2 linked regions of the Arabidopsis thaliana genome follow. The protein of the gene in region 1 interacts with the protein of each later gene in a pairwise test. Each region holds a gene or a part of one and is shown in the gene's direction. Other genes may lie near its edges.

Evidence for each region. Proteins that work in one complex are often made in the same cells at the same time.
Region 2: the proteins of AT4G16100 (region 1) and AT3G56320 interact in a two-hybrid assay, tested with the Arabidopsis thaliana proteins (one large-scale study listed by BioGRID).

Annotation. Positions count from the first base shown.
Region 1 is NC_003075.7:9,102,650-9,110,515, forward strand, and holds AT4G16100 (heat shock protein, putative (DUF789)), read left to right. Parts: upstream 1-3,003; 5' UTR 3,004-3,159; coding exon 3,160-3,480; intron 3,481-3,751; coding exon 3,752-3,963; intron 3,964-4,392; coding exon 4,393-4,621; intron 4,622-4,734; coding exon 4,735-4,820; intron 4,821-4,913; coding exon 4,914-5,005; intron 5,006-5,092; coding exon 5,093-5,337; 3' UTR 5,338-5,510; downstream 5,511-7,866. Other genes in the region: AT4G16090 (uncharacterized protein), read left to right, coding at 429-485, 567-1,316; AT4G16095 (RNI-like superfamily protein), read left to right, coding at 1,898-2,314, 2,442-2,588.
Region 2 is NC_003074.8:20,885,394-20,893,117, reverse strand, and holds AT3G56320 (PAP/OAS1 substrate-binding domain superfamily), read left to right. Parts: upstream 1-3,314; 5' UTR 3,315-3,622; intron 3,623-3,815; exon of another isoform or gene 3,816-3,899; 5' UTR 3,900-3,968; exon of another isoform or gene 3,969-4,164; intron 4,165-4,410; 5' UTR 4,411-4,493; coding exon 4,494-4,739; intron 4,740-4,823; coding exon 4,824-5,003; intron 5,004-5,092; coding exon 5,093-5,185; intron 5,186-5,290; coding exon 5,291-5,473; intron 5,474-5,551; coding exon 5,552-5,654; intron 5,655-5,753; coding exon 5,754-5,936; intron 5,937-6,011; coding exon 6,012-6,493; intron 6,494-6,583; coding exon 6,584-6,925; 3' UTR 6,926-7,224; downstream 7,225-7,724. Other genes in the region: AT3G56340 (Ribosomal protein S26e family protein), read left to right, coding at 70-154, 259-392, 732-809; AT3G56330 (N2,N2-dimethylguanosine tRNA methyltransferase), read right to left, coding at 1,185-1,289, 1,383-1,445, 1,534-1,834, 1,928-2,128, 2,237-2,868; AT3G56310 (Melibiase family protein), read right to left, coding at 7,373-7,624, 7,719-7,724.

The DNA of each region.
Region 1 (7,866 bases):
AACTAGAAACAGAGAGAGATTGAAGAGATTTACGAGAGCAAGTTTGTGGAGAGAGGACTTGGAAGAGAATCTGAGAAGCAGAGACGACATAGCTTTGCGTTGATAGTGAAGAATCAAAAAGAAATAAAGAAAGGGTTTTCGAGTTAGTCAACCAAGAAAGTCCCTTCTTGACTCGATCTAAGACCAAAGTGCCTGGCCACAAGAATAATGTCTCTCTCGTTTTTATCTTTGTTTCCACGTTTCTCCACATTTCCTTTTTCCCTTATTATATAATCTTATGAAAATGGAAACGAAATATCTTTGTTATCAAATTTGTGCACAAGATTCTTTACTTTGCACCAATTATTTTTTCTTTACTTTTCCTTTGATGACCTATGTGAAAACCCTTTTGTTTCTTTTTGATTTTTTCACATATCAAAGCAAAAGCTATGTCGTCTCTGCTTCTAAGCCTCTCTTCCAAGGCCTCTCTCCGTAAACTTCCTCTGGTAAATCTCTTCTAGTTTTTGTATATAATCTCTGTTTCCTTCGTCTTCTTCTTCTGATGTCTATTTCTTACTTTTCACCAGAGATGCCACACTCTTCGGATGTTTTCCTCCTCTACCACCAACCCTTACTTGTTGTATCGTGTCATAAACTATGGAAGTTCTATGGATGATATTCATGTAACAAGTAATATCCACTATTTTGACCCGGTGAAGGAAGATGAAGTTATTGTCCGAGACAAGGTATTACCAATGGAGTTGCGTAAAGGGTGTCTGGTCGGAATGTCCCATGGTTGGGGAGTTTTCAAGGCCGTGTGTGATTATAATGAATATAAAGCCATATATGTTACTGACTACTACAATCCATGTGGCTCCAAATCTGTCAAAAGCATTCCTTTGCATCCCCTTGGTAAACCTATAGCTATCCAACAACAAGCTATCACTAACGCCGCAATGACTTGTTCACCTGATCAAAGCAAAGATTTTGCAGTTGCTGTCAAGTGTTTAGGACCTATGATCAATTTCAATAGGCCTGGTGGCACACACAAGGACTCGGGTTCGGTCATCTTTAAAACCCCTTTTCAATATTTTGATCAATCAAAGGTTATGTATTCAAAGAGAGATGAAAAGTTCTACACTCCTAGTTTTGGAGGGCACTTCTTGGTTTTTTGGGATTCTTTCTTCGGAGAGGATATGACCGGCTCTGAGTTGGTTGAGTTGCGGTTTTGCAACGTTCCTAAGTTGACCCAGTCCGAGTGGGAGCTCTTGGACTCATGTTCCAAGACTGTATACCTTGTGGAGTCTCCCTCAGGCCAACGTTTCCTAATCAAGTAGTACGCTCAGAACCACCAACCAGGTGATTCGATGACATTCCTGTGTCGCGGAACAAAGCGTTTCATGGTGTTTAGAGAGCTGGAAGAAGATAAAAGGACCATGTGTTACACGGAGGACATTGGAGATCTCTGCATATTCTTAGGCAATAATGAGCCCTTTTGTGTCAAGGCAAGCTCATTCCCTGGTCTAAACCCTAACTCCATCTATTTTGCAGGCGATGGCTTCGGTGTTTACGATATCGCCACTAGAAAACCACGTTCCTTCCGTCCCAAGTCTCCCTCAGCCTTCTCGTCAGCATCACTCCTCCCTTACTGGATCCCTCCAATGTCTCTTTAGTTTACTTGTTCTTCACTAGTCATGTTCTGTAACTTTTGTTTTTTATGCTTATAATTGTTCTTTTGCGAGCCCTTGGACGTTGGCCGCCATCTTCATACGAGTTAATAAATTTTGGTGTGAGGAAATATACGAGTCAATTTATGAAACGAAGGTAGTAACTTTCGTAATTCCTTTTTTTTTTTTTTTTTTCTCTGGTTGTATGAATCATTCATCATCGATATCTTATACTTTTGTATCATGATCGTATGGATCATTCATCATGGACCTTGAGGGGTTACTCAATAGAGAGCAGTAGTGTGGAAGACCTTCTTGGTATGACTAAGCTCAGAACTCTCACGGTCCATTCCCTTGATGGTTGTACGTTAGAAACTCTGTCTGCATCTCTCTGTGAATCGAGAGAACTCGGGCAGCTTTCATTGTACGAGGTCATGCATGATAGGCATAATGAAGGAAAATTAGTTCTTGATTTGATTCAACTCAAATTTTTAACGGTGGGCATGCATATGCCTAGGTTGCCTGATCAACATCGATTCCCTCCAAACCTTACGAACATATGTCTTCGGTATTGTTGCATGGAAGATGATCCAATGCCGATTCTAGAGAAGTTGCTCCACTTGAAATTGGTTGAATTATCATATGGTGCTTTCACTGGGAAGAAGATGGTGTGTTCAAAAGGTGGGTTTCCTCAATTGTATGAGCTAAATTTATGATTTGGAAGAGTGGATAGTAGAAGAAGGCTCCATACCATGTCTCCATACTTTGACTATAAATGAATGCAGAAAGTTGAAGGAGCTTCCGGATGAGGTCATATACATAACATCCTTAAAACAACTGACAATTGGAGGAAGGAATAGTGAATGGGTGTGGAAATTGTCTGAAAGAGGACAAGATCACTACAAAGTTCACCACATTCCTTGTGTTCAGTTTATTTACTAGACCTTTGTCTAATTTTATGTATAAAAATTATAACAATGTAGAAAACTACAACACAAATGAGATCAAATTCTGATTTTTAAAATCCGGTTGTGATGATTATTAATCGTGGAAAAAAATCAGGGATTATAACTTTTGTTAAATTGTGAACGTACAATATTGAACTGAAAATGCCAAATGAATTGGTTATTATTACTTTGATGAAAATGAATTGATCGTTTAATTTTTTTTATATTTATAACAAAAATGCGATATGCTCTTTTTAATTCTTTATTTCTATTTTTGCTTCAGAATTTTTTTTCATTTTATTTTTGGTCAAAAAGGTTATTAATTTCCTTTTCAATTTGTACGAATTTAAACGGTGACGTTTTTGTTTAAATTATCAAACAAATCAAAACAAAATCAATAAAATCTAATCTCTCATCATGAGGCATCTTTGACTGCTCTTTAATTCACTAAAAAAGTCTAAAACCCTAACCATTGCCCTTTTTCAAACGAAGAAGAAGAAGACGAAACGCTACCATCATCTACACACACACACCCAACTACTTTTTTCCATCGCCGGCCTGTACAAATGTCGACTACCCGTAGGATCCGCGGCGAGAATCGGTTTTATAACCCACCTCCGATGAGAAAACTTCAACAAGAGCGTGAGAAGAAGAGACTTGAAGCGGAGGAGATAGAGAAAGAGAAGAAGAAGGCAAAGGAGATTCTCGATCGAAAGATTAAAGTCGAGGAGAAGGAGATTAAGCAACCTGAGGAGTGCTCGACCTCCGATTGCTCTGTGCCGAGTCGGGTCTCCTCCACCACCACCACCACCGGAACTACTTCTTCCAATTTGGGCCGGTTTCTGGATTGCACCACTCCAATTGTTTCTACGCAGCACTTGCCTTTGGTAATTACTCCGATTTTGAAGTTTTACTTGAATCGACGACTTGGGTTTGGGCAGTTTTAGAATGAGAACATTAGCATCAAGCGTTGAAAATGGGAACTTTTTATCAATTCTTGGGAACGATTATGATCTCAGTCTCTTATTGAAGATAGAATTGGTTTCAGGTTTTAGAATTTATCGCTATTTAGGATTGTAGATTTGAGAAACAGATTCAGTTAGTAGAACAATTGTGATGTTGTTGTGGTCAGTCATAGTTTCTGTGTTTTTGCTTCAGACAAGTAGTAAGGGGTGGAGAACTCGTGAACCAGAGTACCGTCCCTATTTCTTGCTGAATGATTTGTGGGATTCATTTGAGGAATGGAGCGCCTACGGTGTCGGGGTTCCTCTTCTTTTAAATGGGATCGATTCGGTTGTTCAGTATTATGTTCCTTATCTCTCTGGTATTCAGCTTTATGAAGACCCATCTAGAGCCTGCACAACTAGGAGGTGAGTTCTTACATTCTGCTTATATTTTTGATTGTTTCCTATCAACCATTAGCAGTAGTGATCGGGTTCTTTGCTCGTTGATTGGTTCTTCTTCTGATAGAAAAAAGGATAGCAGTTGGCTTTTTTGTCAATTTATATATTTTGAGATGAAGCCACTTCTTTCTTGGGTTGTTCTTAATCTTCGGATGCACGTTCTTTAGGAGATAGGAAAACCAACTTCTAAGCGTTCTCTGCTACAATATCTAGAGATATTCATTTGGATGACTAATACACAACAACTTTTATGCTCTCAAATACTAGTCAGTGGTTCAAGTTTATCATGGTGTTGAATTCCAAATTTGTTTCATCTCGTTGGTTTTCTCTTTAATTCCCAATTCGTTTCTGCTTTCTAGAGTAAAATTCGTTGTTTTGATGTTTGTTCTTAAACAGGAGAGTTGGTGAAGAAAGTGATGGTGATTCGCCTAGAGACATGAGTAGCGATGGGAGCAATGACTGTAGAGAGCTTTCTCAAAATTTATACAGAGCCTCTTTGGAAGAGAAACCTTGCATTGGTTCATCGAGTGATGAGAGTGAGGCCAGCAGTAACTCTCCTGGTGAACTTGTCTTTGAGTATCTTGAGGGTGCTATGCCATTTGGCCGTGAACCATTGACCGACAAGGTATGTTTATTATGTAATTAAAGTGGCTCAACTTCTCACATTGGTGTTCAATTTCATAGCCGGCGAAATTGTTCTGTCCTGTGTCATAATAATGTTTAACCTTAATATTGCAGATCTCAAACCTGTCATCACAATTCCCAGCACTCAGAACATACAGAAGCTGTGATCTATCACCTTCGAGTTGGGTCTCTGTTGCTTGGTACTGCATCTAACATGTCCCTTCCACATTTTCATGAGTATATTTTTTCCAATCACTCTCTATAAATATTGATTTCTTCTCGCATTCTTGAAGGTACCCAATATACCGAATACCATTAGGTCAATCGTTACAAAACCTCGATGCTTGCTTTTTAACATTCCACTCGTTGTCAACACCCTGTCGAGGTAGGCCTGCTCTGCATATTTAAAACATAGTCTATACATGGGCTTATTAGAAACATCGCAAATCAACTCTTGTATTACTGGTAAAAGGTACAAGCAATGAGGAAGGTCAAAGCTCAAGCAAATCGGTTGCATCGGCGAAGCTTCCATTGCCCACTTTCGGTCTCGCATCCTACAAGTTTAAACTGTCAGAATGGAGCCCAGAGAGTGACGTAGACGAGAACCAGAGAGTCGGGACGCTGCTACGAACAGCTGAAGAGTGGCTCAGGCGGTTGAAGGTGATTCTACCGGACTTTAGACACTTCATATCGCATAGTGGTTCGGCGTGGAGATGATGATATTTAGAGTCATTTTCTAAACTCTAAATAAGGAGAGTGATATATAGCAAAAGTGAAATATCTTTCAGCTACTTTTGTTTGTTTTGTTGAAGGAAAATGAGAATCTGTATAGACACTGATCGTACATTTGTTTAATTACTGGGAAAACTTATGTAATTGAAACAGTTTGGAAAAAAAGAAAAAAAAAGTTGGTCGAAGAGAGTTTCTTCTGCTTTATGATCGTTATAGTTTCGTTATTGTGTATAATATATGAATGTGTAGACTGTGAGCGATTTGTATTTAAGTATAAGTAAATGATTAGGGCTTTAGTAACAAGATGCTCTCGTAGCTCAGTTGGTTAGAGCACCCGTTTAGTAAGCGGGAGGTCTTGAGTTCAACTCTCAACGAGAGCATTTATTTATTATGTGTTGCTCATATTTATCTTTTTGTGTGTGTATACTACTATGTGTTTTGTCTTGAAGAGTTGCGTATGATAATTGTTCCACGTTAACGTACGGCCTCTTTTCTTCGGACAAGACCGATGACACCTCAACCCCAAAAACATTTTTGCTGTTTACACAAGTGATATTTAGATATCTTGCTTCACTTAATTTTATCAATTGCCGACACTTGTATTAATATTGCTAATTATCACTTAATTATTAATTGCCAAAAACACGATTTAACTGCTCATTCACGTGAATATTTGATTACTCAAAAGTACTATTTAGATGTGTAGAGAGAGTCGATTGACAAAAAAAAAAAAAAAAAAGATGTGTAGAGAGAGTTCAATGTCGATAATTGCAAATAACGTCAGTATTCCTAAAAAAGAGTTGGGTCAAAGATGGTTTCAATTGGCTAAAGAAGTGGCTGGTTTCACATGCGACACTTACATTTTTCAAATAATGTTATTTAATTCTTATCCACTTACCATTAACACGTTGCATCACAGGGAAGCTCCTCCGCAAATTGACTCCACACCAACTATCAATTTTGTGGTCACTAACTTTGAGAAACAAGACTTTTAAATTACAGGAAATATTTTTTTTTGTAATTGTTTTACCAAAAATAAGTTGCATAAAAATTGGTATCTATATATATATGAATACGTTATACGTCTACGGATTAGACCAAGTAAAATTTTAGAACTTTTGTATGCGTGTTATGGATATGGTATAGAAATATATTTTACAAATAATCAAAGTGGTTAACTTTATCTTTTGTAACTTAGATATAATTTGAAAAACTTTCAGTTATCTTACCAGGTTGTATTCCAATAAGCAGGGATAATCTATATTTTTTTTTAAATGTAACTAAATATTTTACTTAGTATTTGTGGCTAAAGAAAAAAGGTTGACGAGTAATGTTGTATAGTGGAAATCAAACATAGGAGGAGATCCACCAATATCACTTATCAAAGTGCGTTGTTGCCACTTTTCCCCAATACTATTGGACGCGTTACAAACAAAAAAAAAGACATATGTGAATCATATGAATGTGTCTCTAAGGTTTATTGTTTCCTTTATTATAAGGTTTCGACCAGGCAAGTGGCAATGCAATTGTGCACTTCTTTTTGTTTCGTTTCCTTTTTCTTTTCCTTTGTCTTATGCTTGCTTAATAAGAAAAAGTTAAAAATGAAAACAGGGTGATGTTCGATAAATGACCACTAAACATTTGGTATTGTCAAACACAACAAATTGTTTTACACTTTAATTAGTTTCAAGGGCCGAATCTGGTGTAATCTCTAAATGTTATCAGAACAATCATCGAGGGGAAGAGTTGCTGACATTATATGACTTTACTCGTGAAGTCTTTTGGGAGGCGTTTGTAGCGATCTTGATCCAAAGTCACTTAAGTTAAGGAATTGACTTTCACCTAAATGTTAGTATTTTTCTTCAATTTAAATGGGGCAAGTTTTGTGATCGGTTTAAAGAACTTACCAAGCTGGAGTTAGTAAACGATCTACAATTGATCCAACTAAAGGAAGTAATTGTTAATGGCTATGAACATATGAAAGAAAGGTCGAAACCCGTAAATCAAGGTTCGAGTACGGATTAACAAACGAGTGGCTCGGATTTACGAGGAGTGACTCGGATTTAAGGCGAGTGATCTAAGCCATGGATCAAGATTCATATAAAGTATATATAGACTTGAAATGATCTTAGCTGATAAACCATATTCTATACTTTTAAATCTAAATTTGCTTCATAATCATAACTGCAAGAATTAAAAAGTAATTGGTATATTTTAATTATGGGATTTTGTTACAAAATATATGGTCAAATCGCTGATGCATATATATAGTTCAAAAAAAAAAATCTAATGCATAAATTGTTTAGAAAAATGTATAAGTGCATGGAAGGAAGGCCACACATTTGATCTTTTACATGCTCCAACTAGATCAGTAACTTCTAAAGCAAACACCACTCTATTCAGCTTCTAGCTATGCAAGAATTTGTTGCTATTACCTATTGGGGGTTATACCTTTCTAATATTTTTGTTAACGATTAAGTTTACGAGCGAATACACATGTGTACGTACATATAT
Region 2 (7,724 bases), on another chromosome or scaffold:
ATTTCCCGGTTCTAGATTTGTCTTAAGATTGAAAATGTATCGATCTGGTTTTGGCTCTCTTGTTGATAGGACAAGGCGATTAAGAGATTTATCGTAAGGAACATTGTTGAGCAGGCTGCTATTAGAGATGTTCAAGAAGCTAGCGTCTACGAAGGTATGTGTTGATAGATTCTTGTTATGCATTGTTAATTGTGTATTTGGAATTTTGTTTTGAGACTTCAGAGTGTAATTGGTTTTGTATTTGTATTGCATTGGTAGGTTACACTCTCCCAAAGCTTTACGCTAAGACGCAGTACTGTGTCTCGTGTGCTATCCATTCTCACGTTGTGAGAGTCCGATCCCGCACCAACCGTAGAGTTCGTACCCCACCACCTCGTTTTGCCAGACGCAAGGTAACCTCTCAGTACAATGAATCCATTCGTGTCCTTCAGCAAATTTGCTTAAATCAGTCTTAGATAAAAGGTCTTGGTGGCATTTTGATAATAATGGTTTGAAAGGTGAATTGGTTTGAAGCGGAATTATGTAGTTTCACTTTCTCCAAATACAGCAATTATATTCGAATGTGAGCTCGACACTGTATCTCATTGTTGTAGTTGTTTCATATGATTGTTGTCCTGTTCCAAACCGTGACACTTTACATGCTACGTTTTGTTTTGATGGTGAATGTAGCTTCTTTAATGTTATGTTGCAAGCTTTTTTTCTGAATTGTCTCAAAAATGATTAATTCTCAGGAGGATACACCCAAGCCTGCACAACCTGGTCAGGCTCCTCGCCCTGCCGGTGGTGCTCCTGCTGCTCCTCGTGCCTGAAGACTTCAAGAAGCTGGCAATCCGAAACTTCTTATATTCTAGTTTCAATCTCTCTTTTGTCTGAAATTTTTGAAGATGTTTTCTACATTTTGTTAAAGATGATTTCGCCATATTGGAGCTTTAAACGTTTCAGACCATTTTACCAGTTGATTTGACCAAGATTTTTCCTCTTTTTTGATTTTTGCAACTTCATACCTTCTTTTCAGAGAAATATTTAATGACCGAAGCTTCGCTCGTTCTTAAGCGATGCTAAGTACTTGTATCTCCCTACTTAGCATAAAGCAACAAATAATATAGTCGAGTGTTGGGTATGATTGCTTTGTAAAGTATAATCAGAGGCTTAAAAAAATCTCTAAACTTGATTATAACAAAAAGTTAACTATGCAAATTTTCCTTGGCAATCCTAACAAAATGGGACATGGGACAATCTGTTTTAAGAGCATTGGGAATAATGTGAGATCTGCTAGCAGCGTAACCCTCCTGCAAAAATCCAAGGAGCAGAGCTTTTTAACTTTGTACCTTCAGATCAGTTTCTTCAGAGATCAAAGCTGTGAGAATCTAACTACTATTTACCTTAACTAGTGCACTCATCATCTTCTTCAACGGAGGTGAGTTCATCTTCGCACGGCTCGCCATCTAATCACGAAAACAAATCTTTTATCATGTAATGTGAATGAAATGCGTCTATCTTATCAATGAAATTAAAATCATGGTTTTAGAGGACCTCATCCATTTTTGTGTATCCAGGTGGTAGTCTGGGATCACTTTCTTCAATCATTATACTGAGAAGCTTGTCCAGATCCATGCCAGTGCCTTCACTGACCCATCCCCATTCCTTTGCCAATTCCAGCATTTCCGTAACATAGGATGCATCATGAAGCGGTCCGAGCCACATTGGTCCTGACACAACCAGTGAAGAAGAAGCCTTTGTATCACTGCAGGGACATCCCATCAAACCAAGTTCATCGAATCTCAATGTATGAGAATGGCCACATAGATTACAGTGCGTGACAAAACCATAGTTCCTACAGTTAAAAGACACAAAACAACTCCAATTAGAAACGCAACATAACCAAAACTCAATTCCTTTCGAGTCAAATTCTAAATGTAGAAACAACCTGTCCTCATGTAGCTTCCCACGGTGAACCCTCAGCATGACTCTAAACACAGGTCCGTGATAAGAATAGTACGAGAAAAGAGGCGTAACATGATAACCAAGCAGAGCAGCTTCTCTCACTGCTCCACCTATAAGCATCCGCAGCCCAATCTCATTCCCAAACGGCATTGGTCGAATAAATGCTCCATAAGCTGCTAAAGAACTACACCAAAACAAACCAAGAAATTTTTCAACTTTCAATCTCCTAGTCCCTAAATCATATCATGATTCCTAAAATACCACAAAGACTAATGGTATTGCTTTCACTCACTTATAAGGTCTGTGACCACCAGAAGAGTAACCATCAGTCGACGTCAAGTAAAGCAAACCACCCAATCTCAATGCATTAAACGCATCTCTCAAAAACGAAGAATCACTTCCAAACGAATCAATATCAATCATATCGAAGAAATCCGCAACCATATATCTCTCAATCATCGCTTTATTAGCCAACATATGAGTCACAACCCATCTCCTCTCATCTCCAGTACCTCTCTCTACTTTACTCAAATTATCCGTAATCACTCTCCGATTATCATCATTTGCGTCGTTCGCCATCACGAAATCAGCTTCAGCTTCCACAAGATAACGAAGCGACCTAATTCCACATCCGCACATTGCGTCGAGTACCCGTAAGCTTCCATTAGATCTCTTGTATAGCGTCGCTGACAAAACACCGAGGTCTCGTCCTCTAGCGCTTTCATGGCGGAAAAATGTCTCTCCCGTTTCAAATTCGAGATTCCTCTCAATTTGAACCTCGGATTTCACTAAAATTCGATCAAAACTACATTTCAAGCTCTTGAATCGACATGAATCTGGAGATTTACATTTAGGGTTTTGCGATTTGTGCACAGTGAAGAAGGAAGAAGAAGATAGGGTTTTAGGAGAGAGAGTCAACAACATAGCGGGAAAAAAAAAATCTGATTGTTTTGCTTGATTTTTTTTTTTAATCGTCTATCTAAATTAGTCCGTCCGATATTATGCCACGTGTACGGAAGAGATAAAAACCTCGTATTAGTAGGCCACGTCGTCAATCTTATGATTAGTTGGGTCCCACTTGTGTAATCGTCTATACTCGAGTCCACCTAAAGATACGATACACTTTTTTCCCTTTCATGGAATTGAGTTTCTACTGTTTCTGGAATTCTGGGTTTTGGAATTTGGAGAAATTAGGGTTTTTGTTGAATCATTCAAAAACATTGACCATGAAGATCATAGAGACTAAGAGTCTCCAACAAGAATGAAGAAAATCTATTTTTTTTCTTGGGTTGAAAATTATTTGAGAGGAGCAGGTGAAGTTAATTTTTTTCTCATTGATACAAAAATGGCAGATTGTTTTAGAGTCTCCACTATTATGAACCTTCCATAATTTTTTATTTTATTTTTGCTTATATTATCCCTTAATTTTTTGTCTTGGTGATAATTCTCTTTCTCCCCTCAATTAAAAAAAAGTTTATAGTATCGGTTTCTCTTCTCCTGATCAATGAATACAAATCGGTATTCGTAAACAATCCCTTCCGTTTCATTTTACTGACTCATATCTGTTTTTATCTGGGTTTTTATTTCTTTTCCCCTTTGTGTTTCAAAAAAGTTTTTGGTGTAACGTTTATTATCCATAAGATCCAAAAAAAACTAAAGCTGGAAATTTTGTTTCGAGGTGAGATAATCTTTGCTTAATCTTTAGGAATCCAATGAATACAAGCTTAATTTGCCTCTTAATCCTCGTTATCGGAGAAAGCAAAATGATGTTTCGTGTGAATCTCGTTTTTTGATTTTTGGGGTTTTCTCTTTTGTCTTAATCCATCTTCGTGGTCCTTGTGAAGCTTAAAGATGAAAACCAAAATGTCATATTTTTTTTCGTGTGAAAATGTCGATTCGTTACAAATCTTAAACCCTGTTCCAAGTTTTGATTTTTTTTGTTTGTTTGTTAGCAGGAATTAAAGCTTCTTGAATATTCAAAGATTAGCCCAAAGAATCTCTGGACAACTGGTCTAAAACCGCAGGTACGCCTTTCACTACTTAAACCTCTCAATTTTGTCAACAAAAAAAAATGATTTTGGAAGAGACAGAGCTGAGACTTCTGAGCTAATAGTCATTTTTTCCTAAGGTATAATCATCACTCACGCAGGATAGTTTAGCTGTTTTGTTTTGTTTTCCTTTATAAATATTCGATTTTGCTCTGAGAAGCTAAACATTAGGGTACCTACCTAACACTGAATTCACTATTGGCATGCTCTGTTTCATTTTTTTATGTCTCTTGCTTAGGATGTAATCTCACTCACTCTCTGGATTAGCCTCGATTGTTCTTAATCAAATTTGGGAGCTCTAGTTATTAGACAATCAACTTTTACCTTGACTTCATTTTTTTCTTTTTCTCTGTCTAATGTGATGACAAAAAGGCCAATTTGAAATATTTTGTAATTCTGTTTGTTCTGTTGTTTGTAGATATCATAATTATATAAGGGGCTCATTGAGTTGTTGAGGATTCCTGTGTTATCACTCTGATGTTAGTTTGAAGTTATGCGCACATGGGTGAAATTCAAGAAAGATTGTCAGTTTCATCATCTTCGTCTTCTTCATCATCCTCATTGTCACTATCAACGGCACTACCTAAAGGAGATTCATTGCCGATAGATGCAGATTCTTGGATGATTGCAGAGGAGAGAGCTCATGAGATACTTTGCACTATCCAACCTGCCCTTGTTTCAGACAGAAGTAGGAATGAGATCATTGATTATGTACGAACTCTTATCATGAGTCATGAGGGAATTGAGGTTAGAAACTCCGCTTCTCTTTGCTGACATGTTAAAGATTTATGCTGTTTTGTTAACTTTCTATGGGAACTTGTTTATCTACAGGTCTTTTCATTTGGTTCAGTGCCACTAAAAACCTATCTCCCGGACGGGGATATCGATCTGACTGTCCTAACTAAGCAAAATATGGATGACGATTTTTATGGACAATTGTGCAGTAGGCTTCAGAATGAAGAAAGAGAATCTGAATTCCATGCAACAGATGTTCAGTTTATCCCTGCACAGGTCTCTTTGTTTATTTACTTTTTGGTTTCGTTTTTGTATTTTCTTGGTTGCCCAAATTTTCCTTAAGAAAGTTTGCTGATATATGATAGGTCAAGGTCATAAAATGCAATATCAGGAACATTGCTGTTGATATCTCTTTTAATCAAACGGCAGGTCTCTGTGCTTTATGTTTTCTGGAGCAGGTACTATCAGCTATTCAAAATCAGGCTCCAGAGGTTTACTAAACAGATTATTGCCTAGCTTTGATTCTTAGTTGTTGGTTAAACTCTGGTTTTATGTATTCTCAGGTTGACCAACTCTTTGGGAGAGATCATCTTTTCAAGCGTAGCATCATCCTTGTCAAAGCTTGGTGCTATTACGAGAGTCGAATTCTTGGTGCTAACACTGGATTGATCTCAACATATGCATTGGCAGTACTAGTTTTGTACATCATCAACCTGTTTCATTCATCTTTATCTGGCCCTTTAGCGGTAATCACTCTTTTTCTGAACCTTCAGCATCCTCTACATATATGCAAAAGATGAGAATATAGCATTGTCTTTCAACAGGTTCTGTATAAGTTCTTGGATTACTATGGTTCATTTGATTGGAACAACTACTGTATCAGTGTCAATGGTCCTGTGCCAATATCGTCCCTTCCAGAACTTACAGGTAAGGATGATGCCAAAAATCACAGATACTTCTCTTCGTGGCATTTTCTTGGCGCTATTTGACGTTTTAATTTGGTTCTTTCTCTTTCTATCTTTCCAGCAGCATCTCCAGAAAATGGGCATGAGTTATTACTTGACGAGAAGTTTTTAAGAAACTGTGTAGAGTTATATTCTGCTCCAACTAAAGCTGTTGACTCAAATGGTCTTGAGTTTCCTATCAAACATCTCAACATAGTTGATCCTCTAAAATACAGCAACAACCTCGGCAAAAGTGTTACACAAGGTACTCTATTGATAAAAGTTATACAACCAATATAGCAGTTGTCAAATATTAATTATTTTAAAAACATTTTGTTAGGAAATGTCCAACGAATAAGACATGCTTTTACACTTGGAGCTCGAAAGCTAAGAGATGTTCTTTCACTACCTGGTGACACCATGGGATGGAGATTGGAGAAGTTCTTTCGTAACTCTTTGGAGAGAAATGGTAAGGGACAAAGGCAAGATGTGAATGATCCCGTTACTGCTTTCGGTACTGGAAGATCAGAATTATCTGAACTTAGTGGAGATTTCGATAGTTCCTTTGGAAGACTTGTGTATGGGCAAATGTATCATGGGCATAGCTTACCTGGAACATTTCAGCATGGCTATATCCCGGTTAGTTCTCACCTGAGTGGTTGGGATATTGTTCGTCACCTTGTGACTTACCGAAAGAACGAGTTCCATCTTAGAAGTCTCAATGTATCAACCTCTATGCAGCCTTTTCCTTTGCATTCTTTACCTAATGGCTGTCAAAACATGAGAAAGACGAGAGGAACCGGCACTTATATTCCTGACATGGTATGCGATTAACCCCTTTGACGGACATTTTGGCTTAAAAATTAACTTATTGCTGCAAGCTTCTGAATTGCTTCTCAATGGTTGTTGCAGAGTCAACAGGTATACTCTGACAGGTTCAGAGAATCAGGTACTGGAACCTCATCAACGAATCATTTAGAAGCTTCCTCTGAGGCAATAGACAATGATGGAGCCAGTAGTTGCTGCAATCTTTCCGGTGAAGTGTCTACTTCTTGTACCAGTAACAAAGGAGAAGAATGTGTGAGACCAGAGAGTGTGCTGAAATCTCAAAGATCTGCGAATTTGGAGCTTGATGACAATTGCCAATTTCCACCACCAGAAAACCTAGTAGAACCTAGAACTTCAAGCACATTGGTATTGGAAAATGGCAAAGAAGAGAGTATCAGATCCTCCCAAACCATGAACGGCTCTTGACTTTTAGTGACTGTGACCGAAGCTTTGGTTGTTATCTTGACACCTTCAGGATTACTAGGTTCTCTTAACCACATGGACAAACTCTATTTAGTATTCAAAACTCTATATAGGATTCAAAAGATCCATCAGGAACTTGTTTTGACCAATGTTTCATTAGAGATCTCTTCTTCATTGTTGGTAGGTCAGAATATACAAAAGTGGTATAGATTAAGAGTTGATTTGGCATTTGTCTTTTCTTTGGAATCAAGATCCTTCAGACTTTTTATCTAAATTTTTATATGAGATTCAGTTTTACTTCTTGTCACTTCTGGCAATTTGTTTAGAGAGTGACAAACATTTAAAGTTGTCCGGGTAACAACAGGTTTCACGTTTTACAAGATACACGAGTATACAGAAACACAAAGGCAATCTCTGTTCTTTGGGATTTGAATGCCTCACAATAAAGAACTATACATCAGAGTGTGATACTGTCTGGGGAGTGAGAACGTACATATGACAGTCGTGTGCGTCAACTTGAGCTTCAAAGGAGCCAGAAGTATTCTCTGTTACATCTTTGTGCTGCCACAAATCTCTTACTGAAACGCTAATGGTAGATTCAAGACCGATCATATCCCATGATGCTGTAATAGTTGCTGGCTCAGAGCAACGGTTCCAGAGAGCAACTACCATACGGTCACCAGATAAAGGTCCTGACCACACCTGCAATGAAACAGTTATCACCAATTTGAGTCCTTGAGTTTGTTTTTTCTGCTTTCTCTATGAGTTTGATAATTCTGTGACTCCCAATTCATACCTGCTG